Linked DNA regions of Tamandua tetradactyla. The protein of the gene in region 1 purifies or fractionates together with the protein of each later gene. This does not show direct contact. Links are inferred from orthologs where the notes say so. Each region holds a gene or a part of one and is shown on either strand. Other genes may lie near its edges.

Region 1 (9,976 bases):
GGGGCTGCGAGGGTGCCTAAGAGAGGGTCTCAAAGGAGGGTGGGGGAGACTGGAAGTCAAGACAGTCTGCCTGGGTCTGCCACTTACTAGCTGGGACCTGGGACAAGTCGCTTAACTCTTTCTTGCTCCTTTCCCTGGATAAGGTGGGGACAATGGTCAGTATAGGTTAGGGTATGCTGCTGTGACAATCCCAAATTCCTCGGGTTTAATAAAACTGTATTTTCCAACATTGTATATCCATCAAGGGTGGCCTGGGGCCTCTGCTCATTGTAATCCCCAAGGACCCAGGCTGCAGGGAACGACTGCTCTCTTCTTTTAAAACTATTTTCATTGAGCTATCTTGACACACATACAGTCCATCCAAGGTACACAATGGCTCACAATAGCATCACATAGTTGTGTATGCATCACCATGATCACTTTGGAACATCTGTATCACTCCAGAAAAAGAAACAAAAAGAAAAAACGCACTCCAGAAAAGAAATAAAAAGACAAAGGAAAAGACTCATACATCCCATATCCCTTACCCCTCCCTATCATTGACCACTAGTATTTCCATCTACCCAATTTTTATCCTTTATCTCCGCCATTATTTATTTTTTTATTCTTATTTTCTTACTCATCTGCCTATACCGTGGATAAAGGTAGTGTCGGCCATAAGGCTTTCACAATTACATGGTCACACTGTAAAAGCTCTATAGTTATACAATCATCTTCAAGATTCAGGAAAAGGGGTTTTCAATAAAAATGGATTTTTCTTGAATAAATGAATGGAATGAAATCGATTCAAGAAAAATGAATTTCCCAAGACCACAGTCACATTGTAAAAGTTGTATCTTTAGATGATCCTCTTCAAGAATCAAGGCTAGGGGAACACTGCTCAACAGTTTCAGGTAACTTCCCCAAGCCACTCCATTCCACCATAAATGAAAACTGCACGTCCCTAGAATGCCTATGAATAACCTCCAGGATAACTTCTTGACTGTTTGAAATCTCTCAGCCACTGACACTTTACTTTGTCTCATTTTTCTCTTCCTCCTATTGGTCAAGAAGGCTTTCTCCATGCCACGGTCCCAGGTCCTGGCTCATCCCAGGAGTTCTGTCCATTATTGCCAGGGAAGTTACACCGCTGGGAGTCACGTCCCACGTAGGAAGGAGGGCAGTGAGTTCACCTGCCGGGTTGGTTTAGAAAGAGAGGCCGTGTCTGAGCAACAAGAGGCTCCCTGGGTGTGACTCTTAAGCACAGTTATTAGTAGGCGTAGCTTCTCCTTTGCAGGAATAAGGTCCACAGGGACGAGCCCCAAGGTCAGGGGCCTGGGTGGTTGCTCTCTCAAATGCTGCAGGCTTCCCTGTGGAGGAAGGAAAAGTCTGGGAGCTCCGATGTCGGCACATATGTGGTTTGGTCTGGAAATGATGCATGGCCCCCTCCTCGCAGGTCCTTGGCCAGGACTAGCATGGCTTGGTCCCACTTCAAGGGAGTAGTAGGTGGTTAATATCTGTCGAGTGTTTTGATGTTTCTTGGCATAAAACGGGTGCTACATGGGTGATACCCATACACTATTAATATCATTTATTATTGGGAAGTTCTGTCAACAGAAGCCGCTGGGGGTTTGAGGGTGACAGAGGGGACAGGCTCAGGCTGACCCCCTGGGTCTGGCCACCTTGTGTGGCCCTCACTGCCATCTGGAACCCTGGAGCGGGCCTGGGGCAACCACCCACCCCAACCAGAAGATGCTAAGGGCCTGCCTTGGGGTGGCCCTGGAGGGCACTTCAGGAGCCGGCTTGACACTCATGTCCACCTCGGACCCAGGGGGTTACATGACTCAGGCCCAGCTTGGGTCCCATGCCGACCCCACCCTGTTCTCTATGGTAGTCCCCCAAGGAAAATTTCCATCCTAAAAAGGAGGGGAATTGTGCAAGGCCCTGGAACTCCTGCCCTAGCCTCAGCCGCAGCCAGAACACAGGTCTGGGGGACCTCGGCTTCTCCTCCAGGACCCCAGAGGTCAAAGGGGTGCCAGGGCCCAGGGGCTGGTGGTCGTGCACCCAGACTTTGAGGATCTGGATGGGTCAAGCCTCAAGGCCAGACAGCTCACTGGGGAGGTTTGAGGGGGGAGGGTACTGCTCTGTGGGAGGTGGGGGGAGGACACTGGCCCGCCGGGGGTGCAGCCCGGACCCAGCCGCACCTCTTCAAGCAGCTACTCCCTCCACCTGGCCCCAAACTCTCCCCCACCCCAGAATGCGTGGGACAGCCCTCACCCCACCCGCAGCGCCTGCTTCTCCCCCCAGCGGCCCTAGGCCTCACCTAACCTCAGCAGCGGCTCCTGGGCTTCATCTTGCATTTCCCTGACCCCTTGCCCCCTGTCCTCTGAGAACGCTCTGTGGGCCTCTGTAGGAAGGGGCTAAAAGGGGGTTACACCCAGGGCCTGAGGCGTTTGGGCTGGGGTGGGGTGTCAGGGAAGGTCCCATTGAGGAGCAGACAAGGGGGGAGGCTGCCTTGCAGGGCGTGGGGAGGGGGGTCCAGGCCGGGGAAGAACCAAGAAGTCACCGGGCGAGGGAGTGGGCATGCGCAAAGAGTGGACATGTGCAGGGAGAAGTGGGCACGTGCACCGGGCAGGGGCTGTGGCCCGTGGGAGTGAGGGCCTGGGGAGGACTGGCAGGCGGGTCCCCTGGCCCTGAGCAGGCCCCACGCAGTGCAGGGACAGGTCCGGCCAAACCGCCTTGGACCCCTTCCCCTCCCAGGGAGGCTCATCTCTGGGGCGGTGGGCTGCGTGGGGAGGGGCCGCCCCTGTGCTCCTCAGTCCCCTTTAAGGCCTGCCGGGCGCAGCTTGCTCAGGGTGCCCGCCCCGGACCCGGACCGCGCCAGCGCGCGGGGGGCGCCCCAACCACCGCACTGCCGCCCATCTCCAGGCGGGGCACGGCGGGGCCGCTTGTTCGCGCCGAGGCGCCAGGCGGGCCGGGGTCAGCGCCCGCGAGGTCGTCCCGGAGGGCGGGTGGGCTGAGCGGGCACCGGGGGGAAGGGCCGCCGGCGAAGGGTACACAGGGGGCAGCGGGGAGGGACCTGGCTGCCAGCTGTGCCACCCTGCCTGGGGCCCGCAGGCAGCCCACCCGGCCGCAGGTGAGATGCCACCGAGAGGGGCCGGGGATCCCCTGCTGACGGCGCGGGTCACGCGGCGCTGACTCACGGCCGGCCGGACGGGCCCGGCCACCTGACCACGCAGCCCGGGGGCGGGGAGGGCCCCGCCAGGGGGTTCCGGTGCTGCGCGGGTTCCCGCGCCCCCGCCGCCTTGGGGGAGGGGAGGCCAAGGGCCGCGCTCGGGGCTTCTGGGGGAACCCTCACCACGGTTCCAAATGAGAAGGCGGGAGCGTGCCAGGGGGCGACCTCGGGGTCCCGCTGCTCGTTCCGGGTCCCGACTCCCACCCCAGACCGGCTTTCCTTGTGCGCCCGGACCGGGCACCCCACCCACGCGCTCCCTCCCCGCTCGCCAACATTCCCCCCCCCCCCCCCGCCCCCCCCCCCCCCCCCCCCCCCCCCCCCCGCCTTTCTGCAGGGCTGCCCCGGGCAGGGCAGGGAGCTCCTCTTTGGAGGTCCCTGGGCAGGGTCAGCCCCACCCGGGGTCAGTGCCTGCTGCCTTCCCACAGGCAATCACTGCACCTGACAACGCGCCCTGCCCCCCAATCTCCCTTGGTCTCTGGGTCTCCCACTAAGCCCCCTCTGAAACACCACGAATCTGACCACAGATCTGACCCTCCCACAGGCCCCCCACCTGGGCACTCCAGAGGGCCACATACCCTTCCCGCCAGGTCTTTCCAAGGCACCCCACAGGCCCTGGGCTGGGCTGCCCCAGGTCGCTGCCCTCAAGTACAGTGTTTCTTGGTTACTGTCTCCCAGCTGTTCTGACGCCCCTGCCCTAAGGCCCACAGGCCCCTGGCTCCCAACTGAGGCAGGGGGATCAGCAGAGAGCAAATTCCAAAAAAGCAGGCAGGCCACAAGGAGGGAAGCAATAAACGGCACCTGCGGCAAACTGACCCCACCTGAGCGAGTCATCCAGGGCCAAGTGTCACAAGGAAGGGAGAAGGGGAAGGTAGTAAAATAATTAATAAAAGTTACAAAAGGAACAAAAAACAATAAAAGCATACCCTTGATATTGCTATTATCAACACCAACACCATCCTATCAACCCTAAAGAACACCCAGGGCTCTATCTGAGACCCTACAAAGGTTCCGTGCACTAGGGGAACTTTCCAGAAACTTACAGCCTCCAGATGGTTCCTAGGCCAGAGAAGTCCTGAAACCCAGAGGGCCCAGCCTCTCCAGACATCAGCTGGTTCCATCCCCAACCCATATTATCCACAGCCCCTTCCAACATGAAAAAGTTAGAATCCCAAATACCCCTAAAGATTGGGAGAAGGATTAAAGGAGGAGGAGGAGTTAGAACAGAGAAGACAGGATTTAGCAAATGTTGAATGACATTCAGAGTATAATTGCTGAGTCACTATATACCGATATTTCTGTTGGCCTCCAGGGTCTTGGAGCAGCTAGAAGGAAAAATGAAAAATTGTGGAACTATGACCCACACAAAACTTTAAACTCTGTTTTATAACTACTTGTTAAAATGTACTTGGAGATTTATTGCTTTGTGTATATATATTTCATAAGAAAAAGTTGAAAATTATAATAAAAAGCAAGCCTTCCCACCGTGTCCTGCTCCTCTCATCTCTTTCCTTTTGGGAGAGCGTCCTCTCGCTACTACTTTTGTGTGCCCAGTACAGGAGCCGCCACGGAGAATACTGAATAAACTCTGTCTGCTTCCCGGCTGTGCTGTGCCCTTGAATCCTTTCTCGAGCCCTGGCCAAGAACCTAGGAACCTAAAGCCACAGCTGGCTGGCGCCCACTGAACTGAACCCTGACAGGTGGGCATCTGGGCCGCGATGACCACTCGGTGACACCTGACATCCTGCAGGGCTGGCGCCCCCCTGTGCTCTTCCAGCACCTCTCAACTAAACTGGGGGGCTGTGGAGCTCAGGCCTGAGTCGGGCGTGACCGTCCACCCCGTTAGGGCTCAGGCGTGGGCGATGCTGTGCAGTGCCGGGGGAGTCCGCTGCTCCAGGGGCCTGGGGACCCTCAGCGCGTTAGAACGGGGGCTGCCTGCTCCCGGCGGCCGGACCCACCGAGGGGCCTCGGCCCCCCGACTCTGCTCCGGGGCAGCCGCGAGGCTGTAGTGCTGCGTCACGACCAGGCCCAGGTCTGGGGAGGGGCCTGGGGTCCCGCCCCTTCCCCCGGGACCAGCGCCTCAGCCCAGGCTGCCGCGGTATAAGCACAGGAACCCGCCCTGCGGGGGCCGCCTTAGGGGACCCCTGCACCTGCGGGCGGCGAGGGAGGGGCCGTCGGGAGGAGGCCGCGGGGCCGGGGTCCGCGGAGGGCGGCCCGCGCCGGGGCCCCAGCAGGGCGGCTCGCGAGTGCGGCGGCGGGGCGGGGCGGGGCGACGAGGCTCCGCCCAGGGGGCGGGGCAGAGCGGGGCTCCCGCTCTACAAAGGCGGCGGCGGCGGCGGGCCGGGCGCAGTGCCGGCGCGGCCATGGCGACGCTCACGGTGAAGGCGTACCTGCTGGGCCGCGAGGAGGCGGCGCGCGAGATCCGCCGCTTCAGGTTCTGCTTCGGCCGCGAGCCCGAGGCCGAGCCCGAGCCCGAGCCCGAGTCCGGGCCCGGGCCGGGAGCCGACGCCCTGGTCGGCGCGGGGCCCTGCGAGCGCCTGCTGCGCCGGGTGGCCGCCCTGTTCCCGGGGCTGCGGCCTGGGGGCTTCGTGGCGCACTACCGCGGTGAGCGGGGCGGGGGTCCGGGGCTGGCGGGCGCTCCTCCCTCCTCCCTCCCTCCCCCCACCCCTTCCCAAGCCGGGCAGGGGCGGGTGATGGCTGTGCCCGGCCACAGCTGGGCCTCGGGTGGCCGCCGGGGGCAGGGAGTTCGAGCACAGGCCCGGCCCGGTCCGTGCGGGCTGCCAGGCCCCCCAGCGGCGCTCCGGCCTGGGGGCGTGAGGCTCCCCTCCCCCGCCGGGCACTGCAGATCCCGCAAGGTCGCCCCCGGGGCGGGGTCGGGACGGGCGGCGGACACTCGGGTTACGCTGACGTCCGCCGGCTGTCGCCTCCCGCTGCCAGCGCCGGGGGCGGGGTGGGGTCAGCTGATGTCCGGAGACCGCAGGCCGAGCCGGCGCGGAGGAGGGCCCACCTGGGCCAGGCGGGAGAGACGTGCGAAGCCGCCCGGGTGTCCCCCGGCATGCGCGGGGCAGAGGGTGGGCTGGGGGAGGGGCTGTGAGCGCAGGGCCGGGGGTGGGCGGGGGGTGGGCGGGGGAGGGCCTGTGAGTGCAGGGCCGGCTCCTGCAGGCCGGGAGCTGGGGGGGGGGGGGTTGGGGGGGCCGGGGGCGGGCCGAAAGGGAGGGCGGGGCTGCCGGGCCCGTCCCGTGTCTTTTTCCTTTGTAATTGTTCCGTGGGCTGTAGTTGTTGTCCGGGCAGGACGCTCAGGAGCGTGCAGAATATGGTGGTTTCAGCACGCTCACACATATTTTAGGACCTTTTCATTATCTTAAGGGACAGACCTGTACCCTGAAACACTCGCGTTCGGGTCTTTCTGACGTTTCCGTGTTTTGGCGCTGCCCTGTCCTTGCGGGGTTCAGCTGATGGGGATGCGCGGCGAGGTTTGGGCCGCAGGGTGGGTCCGACAATAAAACCCGGAGACCGCGCACCAGTCACAGGCTCGGAGCAGGCCGGCCCGGGGCCCCCCCTTCCCGACGCCGTCACGGTGGCGGCGGGTCTTGCCTCCCACCCTGCGGTTCCCCGGGACGGGGTCCCCCACGTGCCCCCTGGCACCGGCCTCAGCCCGTTTCAGCCCCGCAGGAGGCGCGGGCACTCACCTCTCTTCCCCACACCAGATGAGGACGGCGACCTCGTGGCCTTTTCGAGCGACGAGGAGCTGGCGATGGCGACGTCGGGCGTGAGTGACGGCACCTTCCGCATCTACCTGAAAGGTGAGGGGCTGCCTGCCGACCCCGAGGCCAGGGGGGCAGGGGCGGTCTTAGACGCTGTGTTCCTGCTGCAGAGGAGGCGCTGGCGCTGCGCGCAGGGCCCGGGGTCTGGAGGCCGTCGTGCAGCGCAGCCGGGTCTGGGGCCCCTCCGCTGCCCCGCTCACCGCCGGGTGCCCAGGCCTCGCGCCGCCCGGCATTGGCCGCGCCCCGCCTCGCTGCACACGGGGTCAGCCTCGGCGCCCCTCCCGCCCTCCGGGGGCTTGTGCCACCAAGGCCGGGGCGGCTTCGGGTGCTTGGGGGTTGTTTGAGGAGCCAGAAGCTGCTGCTCACCGGCCGCCCAAAGCAGCTGGGTCCTGGACAGACTCCCAGGACCTGACCCCACTGGCTGCCTCCCCTCCCCACAGAAAAGAAGGAATGCCGGCGAGACCACCGGCCCCCGGGCGCTCAGGAGGCGCCCCGCAGCTTGGTGCACCCCAACGTGATTTGTGACGGCTGCAATGGGCCTGTGGTGGGGACCCGCTACAAGTGCAGCGTGTGCCCCGACTACGACCTGTGTGCCGGCTGCGAGGAGAAGGGCCTGCACCCAGAGCACGGCAAGCTCGCCTTCTCCAGCCCCCTGGGGCACCTCCTGGAGGTGAGCAGAGTCTGGCGGTGGGCCTGGGGTGGTGCGGGGATGGGGGTGGGGGAGCCACAGACCCACAGCCCCCCCGTCCTTCTTCTGCCCTCTGGCAGGGCTTCTCGCACAGCCGCTGGCTCCGAAAGCTGAAGCACGGGCACTTCGGGTGGCCGGGCTGGGAGATGGGCCCACCGGGGAACTGGAGCCCACGGCCGCCCCGCGATGGGGAGGCACCCCCCGGCCCCTCGGCGGAGTCAGGTGAGGCCCAGGGCGCCTGCAGGTGGAGGGAATCCCACCCAGTGGGAGTGTCATTTCCATTCCTCATGGGGAAACTGAGGCAATGCAGTGCTCAGACCCGAGAGCCCTTCCCGCTTCACCCCTCTGGGTCCCTGTAGCCTGCCCCACTGTCCTCTTTTGTGCCAGCTGTCAGGAGATTCAGCCAGGCTTGCTCACCTTTAACGCATAGTCACAGAGTTAGAAGCTTACACGTAGCTGGTGTCCTGTTTTCAGGGTAGTGTCTCCTCCTGGTTGTAGTAATGTCATTGTGTCTTTGACAAGGTACCGGCTTGGTTTCTGAATGACCTACATAGGCTGTGGCCATTATTTTGGTTCTGCTTGTCCTGGGCCTGTGCTGGGGGAAAGGTGTCCAGGACGTGGCCTCCTGGGAGGGGGAGGGGGAGGGGAGCTTTGTGGGCCTAGGCTGCAGTCAGAGGTGCCCCTGGGACAGCAGGGGCCTTGGGAAGGAGCAGGCAGGACCGCAGCAGGCATCAGAGTCACCAGGACATGTGGTTGGAATTAAACATGCCTCCCACTTCTGCTTTTAGAAGTCAAAGCTGCTGGCCCACCAGAAGATGCCAGTGTCCATTTCCTGAAGAACGTAGGAGAAAGCGTGGCGGCTGCACTCAGCCCGTTGGGTAAGTGGGCTTTCTCCTCTGTCTGAGAGTTTTGGTAACCCCGTACAAACGTGGGGTTTTTTTTGCGACACTGACCTCAGATGATCTCTGCAGAGGAGCGGGTAACTTGTGTGTCCTGGACACTCCCGAGTACTTATTGCCCCACATCAGCCTTTGCCAAGTGCAGGAACACAGGCAGCTCAAGACTGAGCTCGCTGACAGATGCCTGGGCTTTCCAGTCAGCCAGCACGGGTTGGGACAGCAGCGCCAAGTAGGGTGCCCAGGCCTCGGAGGAGGGGTTGGCTGCCACCCATGCCTGTGTACTCCTCTGGGGAAGGCGATGTGAGCCTGGAGATTTACTCAAGGACGTGGGTGACTAACCCTTTTTCTCCCTTTTTGTTTGTAGTCCCCAGACCTTCCCTGGTGTTTCACAAGCGCTGGGCCTGTGCCTTGTGCTGGGGGTGGGAGGGAACCCTGGAGAAAGGCTGCTGCTGGCATGTGTTTGCAGCACCCCAGATTTCAGAGCGGGTTTGCTGGGGGTGCCTCAGCGAGTGTCCCCTCTGTGGTGTTGGCTGACAAGGCGCAGGCTGAGGCCCACCCCCTGTGGCCGCAGGAAGCGTTCCACTGAGGCCAGGACTTGGGACAGGCAGTTCAGCCCCGGGGGTCTGGACAAGCAGAGATTTGTGTTCTGGTTCTTGGGGCTGCATGGTGGCCAGACCCCATACTGGCTGGGGCCTGGGGAGAGGGGTATTTCCTCAAAGCGTGAAAGCCAGTGTCGGCGTCAGCACGTCATGCCCCACCATCCGGACTCCTCAGTGCTGGCAGGTACCCACCCGACGAGCCTCGGGGGCCTGCAGGCCCCAACTTCCTGACCTCTTGGCAGCCCCTTCTCTGAAACACCGTTTCCTCCTTGGCCTCTAGGCATCGAGGTTGATATCGACGTGGAACACGGAGGGAAGAGAAGTCGACTGACATCTGCCTCTGCAGACGGCTGCAGTGTGGAGGAGAAATGCAGCTCTCAGCCGGGCAGCTGCTCTTCCGACTCTAACCAGCCCGATGGGAGCATGGAGGGCGCAGCGCAGTCCTTGGCAGAGCAGGTGGAGAAGATGGCCCTGGAGGCCAGGGGGCAGCCCAAGCCACGCCTGCTCTCCGGGGTACCTGAAGCACAGCCCACCCTGCACTTTTTCTGCCCCCACACCCCCAGCCCCACTCCAGCCCCACACAGACTGAGGGACCTTGCTTCTGTTGCAGAGTTAGTCTGTGGCATCGAAGTCACTCTACAACTTCGTAAGAAATATAAACTCGGTGTTTGCAAGTGGCTGACTGCTCACAGCTCTAGCCCATTGTGCGTGCGCACACACGCATGCACACACACACTCTCACACTCACTCACTCTCCCCAAATCCCGGAAGCGGTCAGACTCGGCCCGGTGCTCATGGTGAGTTCTTTCCCAGGA
Region 2 (10,200 bases), on another chromosome or scaffold:
CCCCTCTTCATCCCAGAATCGGCCGCCCGCCGGGACCCGCCAGAGCTATCCGGGCCCGGGCCCACGCACCTGGAAGATGCGGAAGTCCTCCTGCTGCGCATCCTGCCGCAGGCCGTGCTTCCAGGGGATGCGGAAGCGCGTGCGGCTCGCGTCCACCCAGGCCACGCCCTCCAGCTGCCCCAGGTCGAGCTGCACACGCAGCCAGGGCAGGATCCGCGGCTTTTGGGCGCTCATCGTCCGGCCTGCGCGCGGGGGTGGGGGCGGGCAGTGCCTGGGCGCCAGAGGCCTCCACCTGCCCACGCGGCCCGGGCACCCCGCACCCAGACCTCCCTTTCCCGGTACCTCGGGGGCAGATCCCTCAGCCGCGTCGACTCCCTCTTAGCTGGCCCGCCGGAGAGCAACTTCTCCCCCCGTCCCAAAGTAGCCCCCCAACTAAGCAAGGACTCCCTCCCATCTCCAACCGTCCCCAATTTCTGCGGTGCACCTGAACTTCTCCAGTGTAGACGCTTCTCCCATTGCGCCCCACCCTCCCCCAGGACCCAATGCACACACACCCCCACTTCCACACCGGAGCCCTCCCTGATTATTTCCGTATAGACGCTACCTCCGCGGATCGCCCTCGAGTTCCCCCCGGAAGATCCCAGCCTCAACTCCCGGCTTCCAGAGATCTCCAGCCACAATACTCCCCGCGCGATAGGGCACGCCCCCACTTTCTAGACTATCTCTTTTTGCAGAGGAAACTTGTCCTCCCCTCCGTCCCGCGCCGTGGGTCCCTGTCCCTTCCTCCTGCACCTAATGACCTAGGCCACTGCCTCCTGCAGCTTCTCCCGCAGTTTCCCAGCGTGGCCCTTTCTTGTCCCCAGAGTGCACACTCTCCCCATCGCCCCTTCCTCTAGCGCCTCCTCAGTCTGCGACCTCCCCAACACCCTCCCCAGCTCTTCCGCGTTACTCACCTCGGGACTCGCCTCTGTCTTCTGGGCTCCGGGATAGCTCTCCAACTCCAAGCGGCGCACCTGACTTCCCTCCAGCCGGACGTCAGAGCCGTGGGACTTTCTTTGCTACCGACGTCTTGGGATAAAACCCTTTATATAATTTGGGTATAATGATATGCACACCCTCCGGATCTTTTTAGGCAATCCGGTCACAGGCAAGGCATGCTGGGAATGCATATGCAAATAAGAGGGCAGCCGGCGCTCTGGCCCTGCCCTGTCTTGGTGCCGCCCACCCCGCCCAGTGCGCAGGCGTGGGAACGGTAACTTCGAAAGTTTGCCGAAGTTGCAGCGCGGGAGGCGGCGGAGGCGGGGTCGGGGATCAGGTGAGCCGAGCCCTGGCGAGCACCAGGGCGAGCAGGGAAGAGGAGGGGGTCGCGACCCCGAAGCGGGCAGCGCATCCCCGCCTCAACGACACCCAAACGTCCCAGGCCCCCAAACTCCAGCCTCAGCCAGATACGGAACTACACCTCCCAGCAGGCTACGCAGCAAATGAGCGCAGACCGAGGGGAATTTGGCACGAAGCCCTCAGGGATTGGTAATTCTCCGTCCTGGCTGGGCTTCGGTAGCTTGGCTTGGAATCCAGGGGTCGGAGCCCCCAGCCCCCTCCTCCCTGAGACTCAGGAGTCCAGGCCCCCGGTACCCTCCTCTTCCAGGATCCAGGAGTCTTGTCTCAGTGCCTCCTCAGCCCCCTTCTCCCTCTCAAATTCAGGAGTCCAGTCTCCCCAGTCTCCTCCTCCCTTAGACCCAGAAGTTCAGCCCCCAGCCCCTTCCTCTCCCAGGATCCAGGAACCGCAGTCCCCACTCCTCCCATGGGGACCCAGGAGGACGCGCCTCTGACCCTTCCTCCTTCAGGTGCCAAGCCTCCTCTTCCATGTGGACCCTGCGTTCCAGTGCCTGGCTTCCCATCTCACAGGTGCCCCTATGGCAGGCTCAGAGGAGTTGGGGCTCCGGGATGACACACTGAGGGTCCTAGCCGCCTTCCTTAAGCAGGGCGAGGTGTCTGGGTCCCCCGTTACAGCTGCACCCAGGTAAGAAGGGTTGTCCTCCTCCCCTCAAGGGTCCATCTTTGGGGTGGGTCCCTCTCTGACTCTTGCTTCTGGTCTCACTCTGTCTCCTTCCTTCCCTTCATACCTGGTTCTTTTCCCCCGTCCCTGGGGCTACAGGGAGAGGCCCTCAGTGGGAGGAAGAAGGGACTGCTTGCAGGAGGCCTCTGGGGTCACTCTCTGAGGTTCTCCTCTCCAGGAGTCCCACCCAGGAGCAGCCAGCCGACTTCCTGAGCCGCCTTCGCCGATGCCTTCCCTGCCCCCTAGGGCGAGGAGACGTTCCCCCTGACTCCCCTCGGCCTTGCTCCCTGCCCCTCCGCCCCTGCTACAGTTCAGGGCCTGGTAAGAGATTTCCCCAGATCACCTGTGAAACCAGCAGGGCCAAGAGCCTTGATTCCTGAAGCACAGATGAGATCAGGAACTAGTTCAAGACCTCAGTAAGCCTCACCATCCTGCCCTGCCCCAGGAAATCTCTATTTGGGCTGGCTGTGAGAGGCCTGTTGGTTCCTCTCTCTTTGTCATCTCTCTCCTTCCATCCATGCCTCCCTCTCCCCAGACTTTTCTAGTCACAAGTGCCCCCCAGTAGGGAAGGAGAAATGATTTTCAGTCATGCCACTCAGGTTTTGGGGTTGGAAGCTCAACCAAAAATCCTTTCCCTTCCTTGTACCTCCACTCTCCAAAGGCAAAACTAGGAGACTAGTTTAGACTTAAGCAAGAATGGAACAGGTTTCCTCTCATGTGAGTCTGGGAAGACTAGTAATGAGAAGATAAGCACTGAGATCACTGGGTGATGCACGAAGTGGGCCAGACCCAGGGCAGAAAGAGCAGAAAGAACACTATTAGTTTTTCTACCTTGGATGGGAACATCTCCAAGGTTCCGTTTAGCCCTCACATTCTAAGTCCAGATTGGGGGCATGAAGTAGAAAGAACCAGGGTGTGGGGGTCTTTTCAAGCTTGTTCACTGTACTTTGGTGTCCCCCCCCCCCCATTATAAAATGGAAATCATTGCCCCATGGTTGAGAGAAGGAAAGAATGTAGAAGTCACTGATTCCTTTCACCCCAGGCCCGGCTACTCCAGACTTCTATGCCCTGGTGGCCCAGCGGTTGGAACAGCTGGTCCAAGAGCAACTTAGATCCCCACCTAGCCCAGGTGAGGTGCAGAGGCACCGCGCGGGAGGTCGGGAGGTCGGGAGGTAGCAGGGTAGCCACAGTTCGCCCCCAGCAGAATTCTTTTGCCTCCAGAGTTACAGGGTCCCCCACTCACGGAGAAAGAAGCCCTGCTGCGGAGGCTGGTGGCCTTGCTGGAGGAGGAGGCTGAAGTCATCAACGAGAAGGTGATGGTCCATCTCTTCCGTTTCTCAAGGAGGATGGGAATTGGCGGTTGGCAAGGCATTGGGACGAGAAGCTAGATCTGCATTTTCATTGGCTGGTCAGAAGGGGAGTGGGTGGGACAAACCTTAGAGAAAGAGTTGAGTGACAGGAAGTATGGCCAGGGGAGTACTTTAGGCTACTGGCTGTCATTGGCTTAGAGGGGCGTGACCTGTATGTGAAGGGCGTGGCCGTCAGAGGCAAGATCTAGGCAGGAAATTGGGCTAAATTGGATATGTGAGAGGAGGTATCCTTAGGTGGGGGGAAGCGAGACTGTTTAAAATCTGAGGCTCGGATTGACTTCAGCGAGGTCATGGCTTAGAGTGGAACGGACTGCTGGAGGGGGCATGCCTTGCGGCCGAGCTCTCGAATCTGATAACTCCAGAGCTTGGGCAGAATACATGGCTTTACGACAATAGAATGGCAGAGGCCCAGGTTCTTATAGGCCTTAGTTAGGGTTCCGGGGCTCTGATTGGCTCGGCAGGACTAAGGGGGCGTGGCTGAGAGATAAACAGTCTAGAACTCCGCTGCTGTAGAGGTTGGTCCTGATTGGCTGTCGAAACCTAAGGCATGGCTTAGCGTCTGTTTCTAGACCCCGCCCCTGGAACTAATTTCTCTGAGCCCCTAGAACGTGCCTTATAATGAGTTGCTGTTATAGGTGGGGGCGGGGCTTAGAGTCAATTTCTAGGTCTCCTCAGGCCCCCGCGTGGGGGCGTGGCTGAGGTGGGCTCTGCCCCTTCTGTCCCCACCCCACAGCTGGCCTCGGACCCCGCCCTGCGCCGCAAACTGGCCCGCCTCTCCGCCGCCTCTTTCGCGCGCCTCGTGGAGCTCTTTTCCAGCCGCGGGAGCGGCCCGGGCCCCGCACATGCCTCGCAGCCGTGCCCCGGACCCCCTCCGCCCTCCCCGGAGCCCCTGGCGCGCCTGGCCCTGGCCCTGGAGCTGAGCCGGCGCGTGGCCCACCTGGGGGGCACCCTGGCGGGACTCAGCGTGGAGCACGTGCACAGCTTTGCGCCCTGGATCCAGGCCCACGGGGGCTGGGTGAGCCGTCGCAGCGCCTTCCGGGCCTCGCAGCACTCGACTGAGCTGTGTGTGTGGGGGGGGGCGGCTTCTCAGGCTCCCCTTCCAACTGGCAAGTGCCCCCCCCCATTGAAGCCCTCCGTTCCTCTTGTGCACCAGGCACAGGGGATCGGTGCAGAGGCTCTTCCTGTCTTAAATGGTTCTACCATGCCGATGACCCCCGTGAGCCCCGAAACTAACCACTGTCCCTCCTGGCGCCTCTACACGTCTGTAAAGTGGGGGGAGTGGTTGGATTAGGATGGGATACTTGGAGGGTGCTGGCTCCGCGGGGACATTTGGTGCCTGGCTGTCCCCCTGTGGCTGTCCGAGTGCCCTTCCCGGCTATTCCTCTGCCTCCCCTCTTTGCTAATTTACTCAGGGAGGCCCCCCTCACCTCCACTGGGATTCTCAGCCATCTCCCTGCCCTTCCACCCTCTCCCTTCCTTCTCCTGCTTTCCTTCATCCCACCGCATTCACACCTTCTAACAGACGCTCGTGTAGAGCTCACTTGTTTTGCATGTTTGCAGCAGCTACTTAGGATCAAGATTTTCTCCCTTGTCTGCCCGCTGCCAGCGCCCTCTAAGGGCTGGATTAGGGCCCATTGTTCTGGCCTTGCGACCTTGGCAGCCTTTAGCAACAGTCTTGTCCCCGAGCCCGTCTGCCGCCTGCCCAGTGCTCACGGTTTCCTTCGCGGACCCGCCCCGTAAATCACAGTGGGAGCAGTGAGAGGAGGCCGTGCGGGGCTCATGAAATGGAGCCATCATCGCGCAAACGGGCAGCAGCGGGCGAGTGTGGCTGGAGCAGGATGAGCGAGGCAGGGGGCGGGGGGATTTGGGCGGGGGGCGGGTGAGGAGTGTCCAGATCCTGCAGAGCCTAGTGGGCCTCGGCAAGGAGCGGGCCTCGGGAGGGCTCAGGGACGTGGGTTGCTGACTGTGGGAACCGGCGCCCTCTGGTGGCCGCGTGGGGAATGGACTCGGAGAGGGGGGGTCAAGGAGGTGGGGAGCCCTGGTGGGAGGTTGGAGGTGTCCACCTAGCCTTCGGGCGCCCTTTAGACCACCTAAGCGAGATGTTTAGGAGACAGTGGACATAAGTGTCTGGGACTCAGCGAAAATGCATTTATTTATAAAAAAATTTTTCTGAATAAGGATAATGGGTAAGCTGGGGTGAGCATTGGCGGTTGGGGGGCAGGTACTTAGGATAGTAGCTGAGCCATCCAGTTAATCTGCATGACAACTTTATGGGGTTCTGTTACCCTCATCTTACAACTGAGGGAAACTTCATCATTAAAACCCCAGACCTCTGGGTCTCCGTCCCCCCCCACCCCCCCCCACGGGTCTATGTCCCCTTCCCCACTTGTTCGTTGCTATCCCCTGTCTCTGACCTCACCGGGCCAGGGTGGATACCGCTGTGCTGAGGTCACCTTCCCTGATCACTGGGCTCTTTCCCCCTCCAGGAAGGTCTCCTGGCCATCTCCCCTGTGGACTTGAACTTACCCCTGGACTGAGATCATCCTCAGAAGCTTCTACAGAACTCGACCTCACGTCCCCGCCCTTCTCAGGTGCTGTGCCAGGAGTCCCCGCTGCACTCAGGACTGGGGGGATGGGGGCTGGGAGGGCCGCCTTTTCTATTTTTGCCAAAAAATATATATATATGTTTCTAAACTTTTTATATTAAAAATTTTTTTAAGTGTTTATTCTTTCACTTGAGAACTAAAGTGTCTCCTTCCCCAAGAAGTTAGGCTCAAGTATCACTGTGGTTTATTAATTGAGGAAAGAACCAAATCCTTCCTTGGAGAAAAATTTCTTCTCAGCAGCTACAAGAGTTGTCACCTGGACACACAGCATTCTTGATATCTGTAAAGATGATTCCAGCTCATTGCATTTTGTTCCCTGTTGGTACCATATGTTTATCCCAGCTAAACCAGTAGAGATAGTGTTGGGGTTTTTCCAGCTAGTCCTGGAAGAAGATCAACAACTTTCTTCAGGGAGTTTTCAGGGTACCTTCCTTTCCCCGTTTTTCTCCTCTCTTCCTGTTGCTCCTTCTGAACCTTTTTGGGGTTTCACACCTTTTTAGGGCTATTGATCCCTTCACAGAGTAACACTTCTAAAGGCAGGAAATGAAATGCACAGGGTTACAAAGGAAACCAATGGTACAGAAAAAGTTATCACTATTACCGTAAAAATTGATGTTGTAATAATAGGTGTGCTTCATGAGTGCATTAATCAGAAAGACCCAGTGTGTGTCTGATGACCTTGATTTTGAAGTAGTCATGACAATGATTGACATTTTGAAGGGTGTCATGCATCGAATGGTCTCCCCCTGTGCTGGTTTGAAAGGATGTATGCCCCCTAGAAAAGCCATGTTTTAATCAAAATCCCATTTCATAAAGGTAGAATAATCCCTATTCAATACTGTATGTTTGAAACTGCAATCAGATCATCTCCCTGGATGGTGTGATTTAATCAAGAGTAATTGTTAAGCTGGATTAGATGAAGACATGTCTCCACCCATTCGGGTTGGTCTTGATTAGTTTCTGGAGTCCTGTAAAAGAGGGAACATTTTGGAGAATGGGAGATTCAGAGAAAGCAGAGCAGAACAACATAGCCACGAGAGCTCATCACCAGCGACCTTTGGAGATGAAGAAGGAACATGCCTCCCAGGGAGCTTCATGAAACAGGAAGCCAGGAGAGAAAGCTAGCAGACGACCCTGTGTTTGCCATGTGCCCTTCCAGATGAGAGAGGAACCCTGACTGTGTTCGCCATGTGCCTTCTCACTTGAGAAAGAAACCCTGAACTTCATCGGCCTTCTTGAACCAAGGTATCCTTCTCTGGATGTCTTTGATTGGACATTTCTATAGACTTGTTTTAATTGGACATTTTCTTGACCTTAGAACTGCAAACTAGCAATTTATTAAATTCTCCTTTTTAAAAGCCATTCTGTTTCTGGTATATCGCATTCTGGCAGCTAGCAAACTAGAACAACCCCTAAAAAGATAATGTTGAAATTCTGATTCCTGATACCTGTGAACATGTTCTTATTTGAAAATGTCTCTACAGGTGTCATTAAGTCCAGATGAGGTCACACTGAATGAAAATGGGCCCTATCCCCATATGACTCATGTCCTTATTGGGAGCAAAGGGACAGGGAAGTCACCCATGTGAAGATGGAAGCAGAGACAAGAGAGGCAGCCACAAGCCAGGGGCCACCAGAGGTCACTGATGACCATCAGATGCTGGGAAGAGGCTTAGACCTGCCAACACCTTGATTTCAGGCTCCTGGCCTCCTCCACTACGGAAGCATGCATGGCTGTGTGTTTGTTTTTAATGCAATTTTATTGAGATACATTCACATACCCTATAATCATCCAAAGTCTACGATCAGTGGTTCAGAGTATCATCATATACTTGTGTACTCATCACCACAATCAATTTTTTAACATTTTAGTTACTCCAAAAAAAAAAAAAGTACGTACAAGAATTAAAAATGAAAAAGAATACCCAAAATATCCCATGTCCCTTATTCCCCACCCATATTATTTATTTTTGGTCATTTTTTTCACTCCTCGGTCCATATACTGGATAAAGACAGCGTCGGCCACAAGGTTTTCACAATCACACGGTCACACTGTAAAAGCTATATAGTTATATAACTGTCTTTAAGAATCAGTGCTACTGGAATGCAGTCCAACAGTTTCTGGTATTACCTTCTAGCTATTCTGAATCACTAAGAACTAAAAAGGGATATCTATGTAATGCATGAGAATAATTTGACTGTATTTGAAATCTCTCAGCCACTGAAACTTAATTTTTTTATGTTTTTTTTTTACTTTTTTTTATTGTATAGTATAACATATACACAAAGCAAAGAAATAAAAAAGCAATAGTTTTGAAAGCACTCTTCAACAAGTAGTTATAGGACAGAGCCCAGAGTTTGTCATGTGCTACCATACGATCTCATATTTTTCCTCCTAGTTGTTCCAGATATGGGAGCAACTAGCAATATTAAGCTAGAGGGCATAAATATTTTTTTTATCATCAGTCGGCTTCTTTCCTTTTTTTTTGTGAAAAATAACATATACACGGAAAAAAAGCGATGAATTTCAAAGCACAAGACCACAATTAGTTGTGGAACAGATTTCAGAGTTTGACATGGGTTACAATTTCACAATTTTAGGTTTTTACTTCTAGCTGCTCTAAAATACTGCAGGCTAAAATAGATATCAATTTAATGATTCGGCATTCATACTCATATGTTAAATCCTATCTTCTCTGTATAACTCCACCATCAACTTTGATCTTTCCATCCCTCTCTTTAGGGGTATTTGGACTATGGCAATTCTAAATTTCTCATTTGGGAACGATCTGTCTGAAACTTAATTTCATCTCATTTCTCTCTTCTTCATTTCGGTCAAGACGGCTTTCTTAATCCTAGGACGGTGGGCCCAGGCTAATCCCCAGGAGTCATGTCTCACATTGCCAGGGAGAGTTACACTCCCTGGGAGTCAGGTCCCGTGAAAAAGGGAGGGCAGTGAGTTCCCCTGCCAATTTGGCTTAGAGAGAGAGGCCACATCCGAGCAGCAAAAGAGGTTCTCTGGGGATGATTCTTAGGCATAACTATAAGTAGGCTTAACTTCTCCTTTGCAGGAATGTTTCATAGGGGCTGGTATTTTTTTTAATATTTCCTCCTTTCTCTCTAGTCCCCCAAGGGGGCTTTTCAAATACTTCTTATATTCTCTGCCCAAATTACTCTGGGATGTATCGGGGCATCACACTAACCCGGAAAAACCAACAAGATCTCACTCCCTGTTCAAGATTCCATGTAATTATGATGTTCAACTAAACTGACCGTACAGGTTAAAGGAAATAGTGTGCTGCCAAGAAACGTAAATTTTGCACCAAATAAACATCTCTTCCTTTGGTCTCACACAGAAGTTGACGTTCTAAGATACAGACCATATCACCCTTTACCCTGTATTCTGATTTACCTTACCAAACGACTTGCTTTTGAGTTCATCAAAAAGGAGGTCATCTTGGGTGGGCCCTTAGGAAGTTGCTTACAGCTTCTCCGCGGTCACATTCTCCTGCCCATCCTGAAGGTGTCCGATACGGGGCGTCCTATGGCTGCGAGGCAGTGAAGTCTGCCAGCAACCACGGGAGCTGGGAAGGCTCCCGAGCCACAGAAGAGACCATAGGCTCAGTTCTCAATTGGGTCACAGCCTGTGCACTCCGGAGCCAGTGACCCAGCTAAGCTGTTCCCTGCTTCCTGACCCACAGAAACTGTGATAATAAATGGCTGCTGCTCCAGGCTGCTGAGTTCAACAGTAACTTGTTATCCAGCAATAGAAGATGAACACATTGTGGCGTATCAGTTTTCCGGGTCTGCTGTAACAAAGCACCCCAGGGTGGGGGGGTTAAAACAACAGCCATTGCAAGAAGAAATGAGGTTGTGAGTCACGGGCATGCAGCGAGGTGAATGGCATTTGAGGACAGTATGTGGTGTGAAATAAGCCAGAAACGAAAAGACAAACATTATAACCCCCCATTGATATGGAATAACTATAACACGCATACTCTGAGAATAGAATCCGAGAGCACAGGTTATCAGGTTCAGCCCTACTGTAAAGGGTCCTAGATTGTAAGCGCTTACAACAGTCACGTCTATTCCTGAGTTGTACCGGTTATTTCCAAAGTCTGAGATGTGGAGCTTTTTGTGTATAACCTGGCTGATCTCTGGAGCTTTG

The links.
Region 2: the proteins of SQSTM1 (region 1) and IRF3 purify together in Homo sapiens (affinity purification with western blotting; 4 studies listed by BioGRID). This does not show direct contact. The link is inferred for Tamandua tetradactyla from reciprocal best matches to the Homo sapiens genes SQSTM1 and IRF3.

The regions. Positions count from the first base shown.
Region 1 is NC_135346.1:1,370,678-1,380,653, reverse strand, and holds the start of SQSTM1 (sequestosome-1), read left to right. Parts: upstream 1-5,551; 5' UTR 5,552-5,574; coding exon 5,575-5,815; intron 5,816-6,918; coding exon 6,919-7,014; intron 7,015-7,415; coding exon 7,416-7,645; intron 7,646-7,713; coding exon 7,714-7,885; intron 7,886-8,451; coding exon 8,452-8,541; intron 8,542-9,441; coding exon 9,442-9,674; intron 9,675-9,974; coding exon 9,975-9,976. UniProt on the Homo sapiens protein: Molecular adapter required for selective macroautophagy (aggrephagy) by acting as a bridge between polyubiquitinated proteins and autophagosomes.
Region 2 is NC_135342.1:11,483,084-11,493,283, reverse strand, and holds the start of IRF3 (interferon regulatory factor 3), read right to left. Parts: upstream 3,786-10,200; 5' UTR 3,370-3,785; coding exon of another isoform or gene 3,278-3,369; exon of another isoform or gene 3,261-3,277; intron 3,186-3,260; coding exon of another isoform or gene 3,099-3,185; intron 2,378-3,098; coding exon of another isoform or gene 2,235-2,377; intron 2,021-2,234; coding exon of another isoform or gene 1,906-2,020; exon of another isoform or gene 1,845-1,905; intron 1,528-1,844; coding exon of another isoform or gene 1,482-1,527; exon of another isoform or gene 1,211-1,481; intron 1,174-1,210; exon of another isoform or gene 1,069-1,173; 5' UTR 954-1,068; intron 243-953; 5' UTR 235-242; coding exon 70-234; intron 1-69. Other genes in the region: BCL2L12 (bcl-2-like protein 12), read left to right, coding at 1,482-1,527, 1,906-2,020, 2,235-2,377, 3,099-3,185, 3,278-3,369, 4,160-4,441, 5,913-5,963.